2 linked regions of the Anolis sagrei genome follow. The protein of the gene in region 2 binds, or shares a complex with, the protein of the main gene of each other region. Links are inferred from orthologs where the notes say so. Each region holds a gene or a part of one and is shown on either strand. Other genes may lie near its edges.

Region 1 (7,546 bases), about 13 Mb from region 2:
GCATCTGAGTCCACACTCCGATAATGTGAGATTTTCTGCCTTGATATTCTGGGATATAGGGCTGTGTGAAAGGGCACACAGTTAAAAGCAGATACTCTGGGTTACGGGGCTGTGTGGAAGGGCCCTGGTTTATCTGAGCCCACACTGCCATATATCCCAATCCAAAGCAGTTATTGTGGGATTTTATTCAGCTGTGTGGAAGGGGCCTAAGCTTATCTAGACCAGTGGTTCTCAACCTGTGGGCCCCCAAGTGTTTTGGCCTACAACTCCCAGAAATCCTAGCCAGTTTACCGGCTGTTAGGATTTCTAGGAGTTGAAGGTCAAAACATCTGGGGACCCACAGGTTGAGAACCACTGTTTTAGGGATTTTTGTATTCTTGGGGACCCACAGGTTCTCAACCTGTGGGTCCCCAAGTGTTTTGGCCTACAACTCCCAGAAATCGCAGCCAATTTACCGGCTGTTAGGATTTCTGGGAGTTACAAGGCCAAAACATCTAGGGACCCACAGGTTGAGAACCATGCCTTGGTCACCTCTAGATTGGACTACGTGGGGCTGCCCTTGAAAATGGCTCGGAAATTTCAGCTGGTCCAACGGGCGGCGACCAGGTTGTTAACTGGTGCTCCTTACAGAGAGAGGTCAACCCTCCTTTTTAAGGAGCTCCATTGGCTGCCATACATTTTCCGGTCCCAATTCAAGGTGCAGGTGCTAACCTACAAAGCCCTAAACGGTTTGGGACCTGCCTACCTGCGTGACCGCATCTCCGTATATGAACCCAAACGTTCCAGCATCATGTCCCAAACGCACTTTATTAGAGATTTAAGACTGTCTGCACATTGCACCTACCCTAGAATCCTTACATTTCACCTGTCATATCCAGCACTTTTTAACTGTACCCATTACATTTGGCCTGGCCCTAGTTTTTAAATGTGTCACGGTGTATTGTTTTATTGTTTTTATTGTTACTGCTTTTATGTTTTTGGTTGCTTTATGAGTTTTATTATGTATTTGTTATGCTGTTGTTTTACTGAGGCCTTGGCCTGTGTAAGCCGCATCGAGTCCTTCGGGAGATGTTTGTGGGGTACAAATAAAGTTAATAATGATAATAATAATAATAATAACTTAAAAAAATAAATAAGGAGAGAAATATCCCAGTTCAAAGCAGATATTGTGGGATTTTCTGCCTTGATATTCTGGGTTATGGGGCTGCGTGGAAGGGCCCTGAGTGCCAGGGATGCTTGAGAGCAGTACGTGTGAAAGAGATCTTGGAGTCCTCGTGGACAACAAGTTAAACATGAGCCAACAATGTGATGTGGCGGCAAAAAAAGCCAATGGGATTTTGGTCTGCATGAATAGGAGCATAGTGTCAAGATCTAGGGAAGTCATGCTACCCCTCTATTCCGCTTTGGTTAGACCACACTTGGAATATTGTGTCCAATTCTGGGCACCGCAATTCAAGAGAGATATTGACAAGCTGGAATGTGTCCAGAGGAGGGCGACTCAAATGATCAAGGGTCTGGAGAACAAGCCCTATGAGGAGCGGCTTAAGGAGCTGGGCATGTTTAGCCAGAAGAACAGAAGGCTGAGAGGAGATATGATAAAGGTAAAGGTAGTCCCCTGACATTAAGTCCAGTCATGTCTGACTCTGAGGTGTGGTGCTCATCTCCATTTCTAAGTTGAAGAGCCAGCGTTGTCTGTAGACACCTCCAAGGTCATGTGGCCGGCATGACTGCATGGAGCGCTGTTACCGGAGATATGATAGCCATGTATAAATATGTGAGAGGAAGCCACAGGGAGGAGGAGGAGGGAGCAAGCTTGTTTCCTGCTTCTTCCGAATCTTCCTCCAACCATTGATTGTTTTCTCTTGCCTGGCAGAAAGGGGTTGGACATGGATGGCTCATGGGGTCTCTTCCAACTCTATTATTCTATGATTCTATAGGTGGAACCTGAATAATTCCGAGCGTTATGCCCTTCAGTACGTGGAGCAAGCATACATCACAGAATCGGTGAGTGTGTCTGGTATATTGTCTAGTGTTGTCTTGCTACCTTGCGCCTCTAGAGAGGCAAGGGTGGGCTGGGGGAGGGGAAACTGGAACTTCTGTCACAGGGAGGAGGGAGCAAGCTTGTTTTCTGCTTCCCTGGAGATTAAAGACGTGGCTGTTCGAGAAGGCGTTCGAACAAGAAGTGTAATAATTGGCAATGACAACAGGAATGGAACAATGGAAAACGATATTGGTATTTTTGTATTGTTGATATTGAGATTGTGGATGTTGTTGATGACGATGTTTTGATATTGCTAGTTTGTTATTAGATTTTCTCTTGTAATTTGCACCTTATTCTCTCCATGTTGTACACCACTGTGAGTTGCCCCAGGGCTGAGAACAGCGGTCTATAAGCACAGTAAATAAATAAATAAATAAATAGGATGCGGAATAATGGCTTCAAGCTACAAGAGAGGAGATTCCATCTGAACATGAGGAAGAACTTCCTGACTGTGAGAGGCGTTCAGCAGTGGAACTCTCTGCCCCGGAGTGTGGTGGAGGCTTCGAACCTTTTAAACAGAGGCTGGATAACCATCTGTCAGGGGTGATTTGAATGCAATATCCCTGCTTCTTGGCAGAATGGGGTTGGACTGGATGGCCCACGAGGTCTCTTCCAACTCTTTGATTCTATGATTCTATGTCAGGCCCTTTGTGTGGACAAGGAAAGGTCTCCTCCTCCTCCTCTGAAGGGGAGGCAAGAGAGAGGGGGAACCCGCAAGGAGGGAAAAGAAAGCGGGCCAGAGCATCCGCTGCTGGGCCCTGATCTGCCTGATCAGCGCCGTCCTTCCCCTCACCAGCTTGAGGTCGAGCACGCCGTCCTTGGCCTCCTGCAGCAGAGACACGAACTTGGTGGTGAGGAGGCCCAGGCTCTTCTCGTGCCGGCTCGGGCCTCCCCCCGGCGGCTGGGCCCCCGACTCCGACGCCATCCGCCCGGCCCCGCGCCGCTTCCGGGATCCCGCTGCGGCCCCTCGCGCTGACCCTTCCGCCGCTTCCGGCCACCGCAGGGCATGATGGGAGGCGGCCAGAAAGGGAGGCGAGGGATAGGTGGAGCTCGAGGCCCCGCCCCCTCCACGAGGCCTCACCCCGCCCCCTCTCCACTAGGCCCCGCCCCTTCGCCTCGAGAGGAACATCAGCCCCGCAGCGACCCCTGCTGGGCGCCCGCGCTTTTCGCAGGCAGTCCCCTCTGAGCCGCGAGGGATTTTCAGGGACTGCGCATGCGTGAAAGTATTCCACAGTGTATTGTCGAAGGCTTTCATGGCCATTGAAATCCACAAGCATGTGGACAATTTCAACAGAAAGGAGGAAACCATGAAAATGAAGAAAATCTGGCTACTCTAAAATTACAACAGCAAAACAACAGAGGAAAAACAATCAGGCACATCTAATCACCTCTCAACAAAAGATTGCCCCAGGCACTGCCAGGCCATTAAATGCTAATAAAAGTGGTCTGATTGTTTTTCCTCTGTTGTTTTGCTGTTGTAATTTTAGAGCTTTTTGGATCATTACAGATAGGCCTGGTTGCTTTCCTGCAGATTTTAGGGATGTCTGTCGCACAAATGTAATGGGGAGCTTCTGGATTAATGCAAAATAAGCAATAAATCACACCTTATGTTTGTATGTATGTGTGTATATATATGCGCACGCATGCACCCTCATACATTTTGTGATTACAACTGATGCATATTTCCATAGTAGTAACTATGGAAAAACAATAAAAATACTTTTAAAAAAACAACAACTGATGCATATGAGGGTATCACAGGGGGTTAGCTTAACGTCTGGTTCGTTAGTAAAACTAAATTGCTGTATCACATCATGATACACGTCGAAGCAAGGTGAAATGTTTGGAAAGGTCTGACCTAGAGATCCCTATAGATCTCTAGATCCTCCACCATGACATTATGGACAATGCGCAGTGGAAATTGAACACAGAGTTGCCTTGGAAGGAGGACCAAGCAATTTTTGGGGAAAATATTTTGATGAATTAATCCAATCCACCACCAACCTGTAAACGTGGAGGCTCAACCGTATTTCTGATTTTGGAATTCTGGGTGATAATAATAACAGTAACAAGAACAATATATATATTTTTATTTATATCCCATCATATTTCCCTGAGGGAACTCAGGGTAGTTTACAACAGATATCGGCAAACATTCAATGTCATAATAGGATGAGCGCCGCTCAGCCTGTATTTGTATTTTGGCACCATTGCAAAGACCCAACAGGATTGGGCAATGCTGTTATTATTATTATTATTATTATTATTATTATTATTATTATTATTATTATTATTATATTTATTTACACCCTGCTTTCTCTCCCCTGAAGGGGACTCAAAGTAGCTTGACATCAAAGAATCAGCATCAATGCTAGTATCTCCTCGTTCTGTTGGAGGCTTTAAGCCCTTGGGAGCCACGAAAGGACGACCGCCACAGCCAAGGCGAGCAGCACCGCCGTGCACCAGAGCCAGTGCTTTGATGCTGCATTACTGCCCACCCTCCGCCCGTGGCCATGGGACCGGAACCACTGAACTGCATCCTCAAGGCTGTACTGCCGAGGCTCATAGCCCAGCTCCCTCTTGGCCTTCTCTGGGCTGAAGTAGTGGGTCACACCGGTCTTGTAGACCTCAGTGCGCGTGAGCAGCGGCTGGAAGTTGTATAGGTGCCGCACTGCCAAGTGAAGCATTTCTGTCAGGAATGCAAAGAAGTAGATCAGCGAGAGGGGGAGGCGGAGCGTGGGGAACGGGTAGCCCAGGCCTTCCACTAGTGGCTGGAAAAACTCAAAGTTGTTGACCGGCCGGCCATCGGAAATGAAGTAAGCCTGTCCAGCTGCCCGGTGCGCCTTGCTGGGCCCCAGAGCCTCTGCTGCCAAAATGTGTGCCTGCACCAGGTTGTCCACGTGCACAAAGTCCACCTGGCTCTTGGGGTCTCCATACACAAACCGGAACCATCCCCGCTCCACATAACGGACAATTCTGGGCAGGTGCCTCTGCTCTCCGGGGCCATAGATGCCAGCTGGCCGCAAGGCGCATGTATGCAGGACCCCCCGGCCAGCCCCCCGCAGAGGTGTCCCGTTGGCACCCAGCACCTCCATCTCGGCCTGAGCTTTGGTCCTGGAGTAGTGGTCGGGGTGCAGATGCAAGGGGAGGTAGGGCAAGGACTCGTCCCCACTGTGCACCACCTGACCCCCAAAGACCACGTTGTAGGTGCTGGTATACACCAGCCGCGGGACCCCTGCCTCTCGGGCTGCACGGAGGACGTTGCGTGTCCCACCCACGTTTACGGCTTCAATGCGCTTCCGGCTGAGCTGTTCCCGCCCGGACATCCCGAAGGACGCAACATGGAAGATGCAGGTGACCCCTCGGAGTGCTTGCTCCACCTCGCAGGGGAAGCGTACATCGCCGCGCACGAAACGCACACCTTCAGGCAGCTCTGGGGGGGACTCCGATGCGTCGAACAGGACCACGTCCACGCCCTTCAAGGAGAGGGAGCAGCCCAGCCTGCAACACAAAGAGGGAGGGAAACCACCTTCAGGACCAAGGCTCTCCCTTCATCAAAGCAGGGAGATTCTCCTGCAAATGCAGAACCCATTTTATTTATTTATATCCTGCTTTTCTCCCCCATTGGAGAGTCAAAGTGGCTGACAGCAAGGTATAAAACGTAACAGGTGTGTCTATTTCCATTTATTCCACACTGCACACCTCATGGGCCATCCAGTCCAACCCCATTCTGCCAAGAAGCAGGAATATTGCATTCAAATCACCCGACAGATGGCCATCCAGCCTCTGTTTAAAAGTTTCCAAAGAAGGAGCCTCCACCACACTCCGGGGCAGAGAGTTCCACTGCTGAACGGCTCTCACAGTCAGGAAGTTCTTCCTCATGTTCAGATGGAATCTCCTTTCTTGTAGTTTGAAGCCTTTGTTTCACGTCCTAGTCTCCAGGGCAGCAGAAAACAAGCTTGCTCCCTCCTCCCTGTGGCTTCCTCTCACATATTTATACATGGCTATCATATCTCCTCTCATCCTTCTCTTCTTCAGGCTAAACATGCCCAGCTCCTTAAGCCGCTCCTCATAGGGCTTGTTCTCCAGACCCTTGATCATTTTAGTCACCCTTCTCTGGACACATTACAGCTTGTGTCCAGCCTACAGGGACCTAAGTCCAAAAGACTTGAAGGGAGGGCCCAAGTTGGCCCATGCCTAGTCTCAACTGAGCACATGACGCTGTTTCAGAATGTGAGGATGGGGCCCAGGAAAGTCGCCCGAGCTCCCTCAGGAAGAGACTGCCTGGCGCTAGGCACACTGACCGGAAGCCAAAGTACCCGGCTCCACCGGTGATGAGGACCGTCTCCCGGGCGGGGGCGCGGGCCTCTTTCTCCTCCTTGTCCTCCTCCTCCGCCATGTCCAGCCTTTTGGCCCCGTCTGGGGACTTGTTGGCTCCTCCCATCAGCCCCTGCAAAGGGAGGTGAAAAGGGAAAGAGGAAATGACACGGAATTGAAAATGGAAGAGAATACAATCTATATAAATAAAAATGTAATGTTCGTTTGTGGGATTCACAGAACCTCAAAACCACTGGACGAATTGACACCAAATTTGGACACAAGACACCTAACAACCCAATGCATGTCCTTCACTCAAAAACATTGATTTTGTCATTTGGGAATTGTTGTTGCTGGGATTTATAGTTTACCTACAATCAAAGAGCATTCTGAACTCCACCAATGATGGAATTCAACCAAACTTAGCACACAGGGCTCCCATGACCAACAGAACACACTGGAAGGGTTTGGTGGGCATTGACCTTGAGTTTGGGAGTTGTAGTTCATCTACATCCAGAGACCACTGTGGACTCAAACAATGATGGATCTGGACCAAACTCTACACAGATACTCAATATGCAAACAATGATGGATCTGGACCAAACTTGGCACGAATATTCCATATGCCCAAATATGAACACAGATGGAGTTTAAGGGAAATAGACCTTGACATTTGGGAGTTGTAGTTGTTGGGATTTATAGTTCACCTACAATCAAAGAGCATTCTGAACTCCACCAATGATGGAATTGAACCAAACTTGGCACACAGAACTCCCCATGACCAACAGAACACACTGGAGGGGTTTGGTGGGCATTGGCCTTGAGTTTTGGAGTTGTAGTTCACCTACATCCAGAGATCACTTTGGACTCAAACAATGATAGATGTGGACCCTACTCTACACAAATACTCCATATGCCCAAATGTGAACACTGGTGGAGTTTGGGGAAAATAGAATCTTGACATTTGGGAGTTGTAGTTGCTGGGATTTATAGTTCACCTACAATCAAAGAGCATTCAGAACCCCACCAACGATGCAATTGAGCCAAACTTGGCACACAGTTCTCCCATGACCAACAAGAAATACTGGAAGGGTTTGGTGGGCATTGATCTTGAGTTTTGGAGTTGTAGTTCACCTACATCCAGAGAGCACTGTGGACTCAAACAATGATGGATCTGGACAAAACTCT
Region 2 (7,685 bases):
TGTATTTCTCTCCCTCGTTTCAGGCTTCATGGTCTGTCCTGGTCCCGTTTCTTTTCTTTTGAACGTTTTGCAATATTTGCCAGTTGTGTTCTGTGTAGTCCGGATTTTGCTTTCTTGTAGTTGAACAAGCGTCTTAAGAGTCCTTTGTAATTTATTGAATTACTTTCTATGATGTTCTATAGAGCAAATGGAAGTTTAATTATTTTTTATTAAACATATTCTTTGACAACCCATGATGTTGGCCTCAGTACATTACAAAGTTCAGTTGTACGGATTTGCAAAGCAGTTGATTCCTGAAGCCATTCACTATTTGGGGAATTTATTCATGGAATCGAAGAGTTGGAGGAGACCTCAAGGGCCATCCAGTCCAAGCCCTTACAATGCTTGAGTGCCAAAAGTTTATTACCGAAAATAACAGTAGTGTTCCAGTCTATTGCAACCTCCAAGTGTGTGAGGACTATGTCACTTAACCTTCCCAGTATGCATTTTCAATGTTTCTTTCCTTCCTCGATTTGTTCATAGACTTCCCTCTTTTCTTTCCTTCTTCCCTTGATATCCCTCATACAACTTATTATTTCTTCTCTTATTTCTTCTCTTCCTTTTTTTCTCTTCCTTATTTCTTCTCTTCCTTATTTCTTCTCTTCCTTTTTCTCTCTCTTCAATCTTTTCCTGTCTCCTTTCTGCTCCCTTCCTATATCCGTCTTTCCTTCCTTCCTCTTCCCTTCATTCTTTCTGCACTCCCTGTCATGATCTTCCTTCTGCTTCCCTTTTTCCTTCTTCACTCCCTTCCTATGTCCCTTTTCTTTTCTTCCTTTTTTCTTCTTCGCTCCCTTCCTGTGTCCCTTTTCTTTTCTTCCTTTCTTCTGCTTCCCTTCTTTTTTCTATACACACTCTTCCTGTGTCCCTTTTTTCTTTCCTTCCTCTTCTTTTTTTTTCTTCACTCCCTTCCTGTGTCAATTTTCTTCCTTTCTCTTCCCTTTTTTCCTTCTTCACTCCCTTCCTGTTTCTTTCCTTCCTTCCTCTTTCCTTCTTTTTCTTTCTTCACTCCCTTCCTGTGTCCCTTTCCTTCCTTTCTTTTACTTTCTTCACTTTCTTCCTCTTCCCTTTTCTTTCTTCAATCTTTTCCTGTCTTCATCCTTTCCTTTTCTCTTCCTGTGACTTATTTCTTCCCTTCCTCTTTTCCTTTTCCTTCTCCCGCATTCACATCATCTAGCAAAAGCCAGTCTCCTTCACTTCCTTTATTCCCCAGTCACCTGATAGAGAACCACTTCACAGAGCCACAGCCAATCTGCTTTGTTCCTTTCTTTCTCTGCTCTGGATCTGAAAAGAGTGGTTCTTTCAGTTCAAACCTCTCAAGTATTTTTAGGTTGGATCATGAAGGCAATGTGTGCCAAGTTTGGTCCTGATGCATCAAGCCCTGGAGGAGCCTTTGTGGTACAAACCAAGCAACACCAAGACACTTTGGCTTTTTATAGAGAGATTTAAGGCCTGATTGGTGTTTTTGGACTTCAACTCCCAGAAGCCCCATCCTTCTGGGCCTGTTGTTGTTTATTCATTGAATCACTTCCGACTCTTTGTGACCTCGTGGACCAGCCCACGCTAGAGCTCCGTCAGCCGCCATCACCCCCAACTCCTACAAAGTCAAGTCGGTCACTTCAAGGATACCATCCATCCATCCATCTTGTCTTTGGCCGGCCCCTCTTTCTTTTTCCTTCCATTTTCCCCAGCATCATTATCTTCAAGCTTTCCTGTCTTCTCATGATGTGGCCATAGTACTTCATCTTTGCCTCTAATCTCCTTCCCTCCAATGAGCAGCCGGGCTTTATTTCCTGGACTGGTTGGATCTTCTCGTGGTCCAAGGCACTCTCAGAACTTTCCTCCAGCACCACAGTTCAAAAGTGTCTTATCTTCCTTCGCTCAGCCTTCCTTATGGTCCAGCTCTCACATCCGTAGGTTACTACATGGAATACCATTGCTTTTAACTATGCGGATCTTGGTTGCCAGTGTGATGTCTCTACTCTACTCTTCACTATTTTATCGAGATTGGTCATTGCTCTCCTCCCAAGATATAAACATCTTTTGATTTTTTTTGCACCTAGAACTATAAAGTCTGTCACGGCCTCCACATTTTCTCCCTCTATTTTCCAGTTGTCAATCATTCTTGTTGCCATAATCTTGGTTTTTTTGATGTTTAGCTGCAACCCGGCTTTTGCGCTTTCTTCTTTCACCTTGATTAGAAGGCTCCTCAGCTCCTCCTCGCTTTCGGCCATCAGAGTGGTGTCATCTGCATATCTGAGGTTGTTAATGTTTCTTCCAGCAATTTTCACCCCAGCCTTGCATTCGTCAAGCCCCGCACATTGCATGATGTGTTCTGCATACAAGTTGAATAGGTTGGGTGGGAGTATACAACCCTGCCGTACTCCTTTCCCAATCTTGTACCAGTCTGTTGTTCCATGATAAGTTCTGACTGTTACTGTGGAAATTATCTATCAAACAGATGGCAAGCTATTTAACCTCAGCAGACTGAAAGCCAAAAACAAGGTTACAACAACATCTCTTATAGAACTACAGTATGCTGATGACGTTGTCTGTGTGCATTCAGAAGACCTACAAGCCACTCTAAACACTCTAAACATCAAATCACCTCTCAAAGAAAGATTCCCCCAGGCACTTCCAAGCCATTAAATGGTAATCAAGGTGGCCAGTTGAAACATTCCCACCTAGCTCCAACAGACAAGAGTCCTTTGTCCCACCCTGGTCATTCCACAGATATATGAACCCATTTTCCTACTTCCAACAGACCTCACTACCTCTGAGGATGCTTGCCATAGATGCAGGCGAAACGTCAGGAGAAAATGCCTCTAGAACAGTGTTTCTCAACCTGGGGGTCGGGACCCCTGTGGGGGTCGCAAGGGGGTGTCAGAGGGGTCACCAAAGACCATCAGAAAACATAGTATTTTCTGTTGGGCATGGGGGTTCTGTGTGGAAAGTTTGGTCCAATTCTATCATTGGTGGGGTTCAGAATGCTATTTCATTGTTGGTGAACTATAAATTCCAACAACTACAACTCCCAAATGGCAAGGTCTATTTTCTCCAAACTCTACCAGTGTTCACATTTGGGCATATTGCGTATTTGTGCCAAGTTTGATCCAGATCCATCATTGCTTGAGTCCACAGTGTTCACTGGATGTAGGTGAACTACAACTCCAAAAACTCAAGGTCAATGTCCACCAGACCTTCCCAGTGTTTTCTCTTGGTCATGGGAATTCTGTGTGCCATGTTTGATTCAATTCCATCATTGATGGAGTTCAGAAGGCTCTTTGATTTATGGTGAACTATAAATCCCAGCAACTCCAGCATTACCAAATGACAAAATCAATCACCCCCAACCCCATCAGTATTCAAATTTTGGGCGTATCGGGTATTTGTGCCAAATTTGGTCCAGTGACTAAAAATACATCCTTTCTGCATATCAGATATTTACATTACAATTCATAACAGTAGCAAAATTACAGTTATGAAATAGCAACGAAAATAACGTTATGGTTGGGGGGTCACCACAACATGAGGACCTGTACTAAGGGGTCGCGGCATTAGGAAAGTTGAGAACCACTGCTCTAGAACATGGCCATATAGCCTGGAAAACCTACAACAACCTCCCACTACTGCAGTGGTTCTCAACCTTCCTAATGCCGCGACCCCTTAGTATAGTTCCTCATGTTGTGGTGACCCCCAACCATAACATTATTTTCATTGCTACTTCATAACTGTAATTTTGCTACTGTTATGAATCGTTATGTAAATATCAGATATGCAGGATGGATTTTCATTCACTGGACCAAATATGGCCCAAATACCCAATACGCCCAAATTTGAATACTGGTGGGGTTGGGGGGAATGATTTTGTCATTTGGTAGTTGTAGTTGCTGGGATGTATAGTTCACCTACAATCAAAGAGTATTCTGAAGTTCACCAACGATGGAATTGAACCAAACTTCGCACACTGAACTCCCATGACCAAGAGGAAATACTGGAAGGGTCTGGTGGACATTGACCTTGAATTTTTGGAGTTGTAGTTCACCTACATCCAGAGAGTACTGTGGCCAAAAACAATGATGGATCTGGACTAAACTTGGCACAAATACTCAATATCCCCAAATGTGAACACTAGTGGAGTTTGGGGAAAATAGACCTCAGCATTTGGGAGTTGTAGTTGCTGGGATGTATAGTTCACCCACAATGAAATAGCATTCTGAACCTCACCAGTGATAGAATTGGACCAAAATTCCCACACAGAACCCCCATGACCAACAAAAAATACTATGTTTTCTGATGGTCTTTGGCGATCCCTCTGACACCCTCTCGTGACCCCCACAGGGGTCCCGACCCCCAGGTTGAGAATCACTGCACTACTGTTTTCATCCGGGAGCGCGAAGCTTTGTGGGAAATGTAGTCCGCAGCAAAAGTGACGGCATTTATTTTTTAAAAGCCCCCACAGGCGCGCCTGCGCACAAGCAGCGCGCTGATTGGCGGGAGTTCTACCCCTGGCACCCAATCAGCGCAGAGGACGGGAGGGGTGAGGTGTTTAGATTCGAACGCGGAGGAAGAAGGAAAAAAACAATCCCTCCCTTCCAGCGGCGCATGCGTGGTGAGCGGCAGTGCGCGAGCGCCATCCCCTCACGACGCCCCTCAGTCAACACCATGTTGGGCGGCGGAGACGACGGAGGGGGAGGCGGCGAGGGAGCGGCGGAGGCGCCCGAGGAGGAGGAGGAAGGGAAAGGCAGCCCGGAGGAGGATGAGGAGGAGGAAGAGGCGGAGGACGACGACGGAGACACCCGGCAGCGCTACGAGGAGCTCTGCTGCAGCCTCAACATGGACGAGAGGGCCCGGGCCGAGGCCTGGCTCAGCTTCCAGGGCATGAGGAGGAACTACACTCTCGAGGTGGGAGGGGCTTCTCGGAGAGGGGGCGGGGCTTGTGCCAGAGGGGCGGGGCCTTCCTTAATGGGGCGGGGCTTGTGACAGAAGGGCGGGGCCTTCCTTAATGGGGCGGGGCTTGTGCCAGGGGGCGGGGCCAGACTGGTTGAGGGAGGTCTGTTGTGATTGACATTAGACCCTCTCTTCCATACAAAACTTAAAGGAATAGGAGTCCTTTAAGTCATTATTATTATTATTATTGTTTGTTTATTTATTTCACAGTTTTCTATACCGAGCTTCTCAACCTCGTTGAGGGACTCAGCCCGGTTTCCAGCCATAAAAACAAACACTCATTAAAATACCATATATCACAGATTACAAAAACACTATATGTAAACACTATAGTGGTCAGTCGTCCTATTAAGATGGGTCTACATCAACTTCCATCCAGGGTCCTAAGGTGTTATCTCATTCTTGTTATTATTGTTATTATTATCTCCCCTCTTCTATACAAACCTGTATACAGTACCTGTAAGCCTGTTATTGTTGATATTGGATCTCCTCTTTTATACAAACCTTTAAAGAACAGTCGTCCTATTAGGTTCTTGTGGGTTTTTTCGGGCTATATGGCCATGTTCTAGAGGCATTTCTCCTGACGTTTCGCCTGCATCTATGGCAAGCATCCTCAGAGGTAGTGAGGTCTGTTGGAATTAGGACAATGGGTTTATATATCTGTGGAACGGCTGGGGTGGGGCAAAGAGCTCTTCCCTGCTGCAGTTAGGTGTGAATGTTTCAGCTGATCACCTTCATTAGCATTTGAAGGCCTGCCTGAGCCTGGGAAAATCTCTTGCTGGGAGGTGTTAAGATGTGCCTGGTTGTTTCCTCTCTGTTGTTTTGCTGTTGTAATTTTAGAGTTTTTTATAATAGTGGTAGCCAGATTTTGTTCATTTTCATGGTCTCTTCCTTTCTGTTGAAATTGTCCACATGCTTGTGTATTTCAGTGGCTTCTCTGTGTAGTCTGACATGGTGGTTGTGAGGGTGGTCCAGCATTTCTGTGTTCTCAAATAATATGCTGTGTCCAGGCTGATTCATCAGGTGCTCTGCTATGGCTGACTTCTCTGGTTGAAGTAGTCTGCAGTGACTTTCATGTTCCTTGATGCGCGTCTGGGCGCAGGCGAAACGTCAGAAGAAATGCCTCTAGAACATGGCTCTATAGCCCGAAAAAACCCACAAGAACCTAGTGATTCCAGCCATGAAAGCCTTCGACAATATATTATTTTCCCCAAACCTCACCACTATTCACATTTGGGCATATTGAGTATTTGTACCAAGTTTGGTCCAGATCCATCATTGTTTGAGTCCACAGTGCTCTCTGGATGTAGGTGAACTGCAACTCCCAAAACTCAAGGTCAATGCCCAACAAACCCAGTATTTTCTGTTGGCCATGAGAGTTCTGTGTGCAGTTCCATTGTTGGTGGAGTTCAAAATGCTCTTTGATTGTAGGTGAAAAAATCCCAGCAACTACAACTCCCAAATGACAAAATCAATCACCCTCACAACCCCACCAGTATTCAAAATTGGGTCAGGGGAGTTCTGTGTGCCAAGTCTGGTTCAATTCCATCTTTGGTGGAGTTCAGAATACTCTGTGATTGTAGGTGAACTATAAATCCCAGCAACTACAACTCCAAAATAACAAATTAACCCATCCACCCCCCATCCCACCAGTATTCAAATGTGGATGTATCAGGTATTTGTTCCAAATTGGGTCCAGGGAATGAAAATGCATCCTGCATATCAGATATTTACATTGCGGTTCATAACAGGAGCAACATCACAGTTATGAAGTAGCAACGAAAATAATGTTATGGTTGGGGGTCAACACAACATGAGGAAGTGTATTAAGGGGTCACAGCATTAGGAAGCTTGAGAAACACTGACTTAAAGGAATAGGAGTCCTGTTATTATTGTTATTATAATTATTATCTCCCCTCTTCTATACAAACCTGTAAGGAACGGGTGCCTGTTATTGTTGATATTGGATCTCCTCTTTTATACAAACCTTAAAAAACAGTAGTCCTGTTGTTATTTTTTATTATTAAATTCCCTCTTCCATACAGACTTGGTGGTGGTGGTGTTGATATTGGATCCCTTTTTCTATACAAACCTTAAAGGAGCAAAAGCACTGTTGTTGATCATATTGGATCCCTTCTTCTGTACAAACCTTTAAGGAACAGGAGTCCTGTTATTATTGTTATTATTATTATCTATATTAATAAAAATGTAATGTTCATTTGTGGGGTTAACAGAACTCAAAAACCACTGGATGAATTGACACGAAATTTGGACACAATACACCTAACAGTCCAATGAGTGTCCATCACCCATAAACACACGCGCGCGCACAAAACCCCAGCGAACAGACTTAAAAACCCCCAAAATACACCATATATACATATACACATACACTCATATACATATATACATGTATACATTCATACACACACATGTATATATATGCACAAATATACACATATACACACATGCACATATACATGCACACATATAAACACACAAATACACACACACACACACACACACACATATATATATATATATATATACGCAAACACACATATATACAAAAATATATACACACACATATACACATATACACAGACCGGGCCACAGCAATGCATGGCAGGGGATGGCTAGTTATTATTAAATTCCCTCATCCATACAAACCTTAAAGGAATAGAAGCCCTTTCGTTGTG

What was found. Proteins that work in one complex are often made in the same cells at the same time.
Region 1: RBL2 (region 2) and E2F4 share a complex: the UniProt entries of both Homo sapiens proteins name them as parts of the DREAM complex. The link is inferred for Anolis sagrei from reciprocal best matches to the Homo sapiens genes RBL2 and E2F4.

The regions. Positions count from the first base shown.
Region 1 is NC_090028.1:21,145,711-21,153,256, forward strand, and holds the start of E2F4 (transcription factor E2F4), read right to left. Parts: upstream 3,050-7,546; 5' UTR 2,967-3,049; coding exon 2,835-2,966; intron 1-2,834. Other genes in the region: SDR42E1 (short-chain dehydrogenase/reductase family 42E member 1), read right to left, coding at 4,441-5,542, 6,346-6,485. UniProt on the Homo sapiens protein: Transcription activator that binds DNA cooperatively with DP proteins through the E2 recognition site, 5'-TTTC[CG]CGC-3' found in the promoter region of a number of genes whose products are involved in cell cycle regulation or in DNA replication.
Region 2 is NC_090028.1:34,141,454-34,149,138, forward strand, and holds the start of RBL2 (retinoblastoma-like protein 2), read left to right. Parts: upstream 1-4,623; 5' UTR 4,624-4,641; coding exon 4,642-4,941; intron 4,942-7,685. UniProt on the Homo sapiens protein: Key regulator of entry into cell division. Directly involved in heterochromatin formation by maintaining overall chromatin structure and, in particular, that of constitutive heterochromatin by stabilizing histone methylation.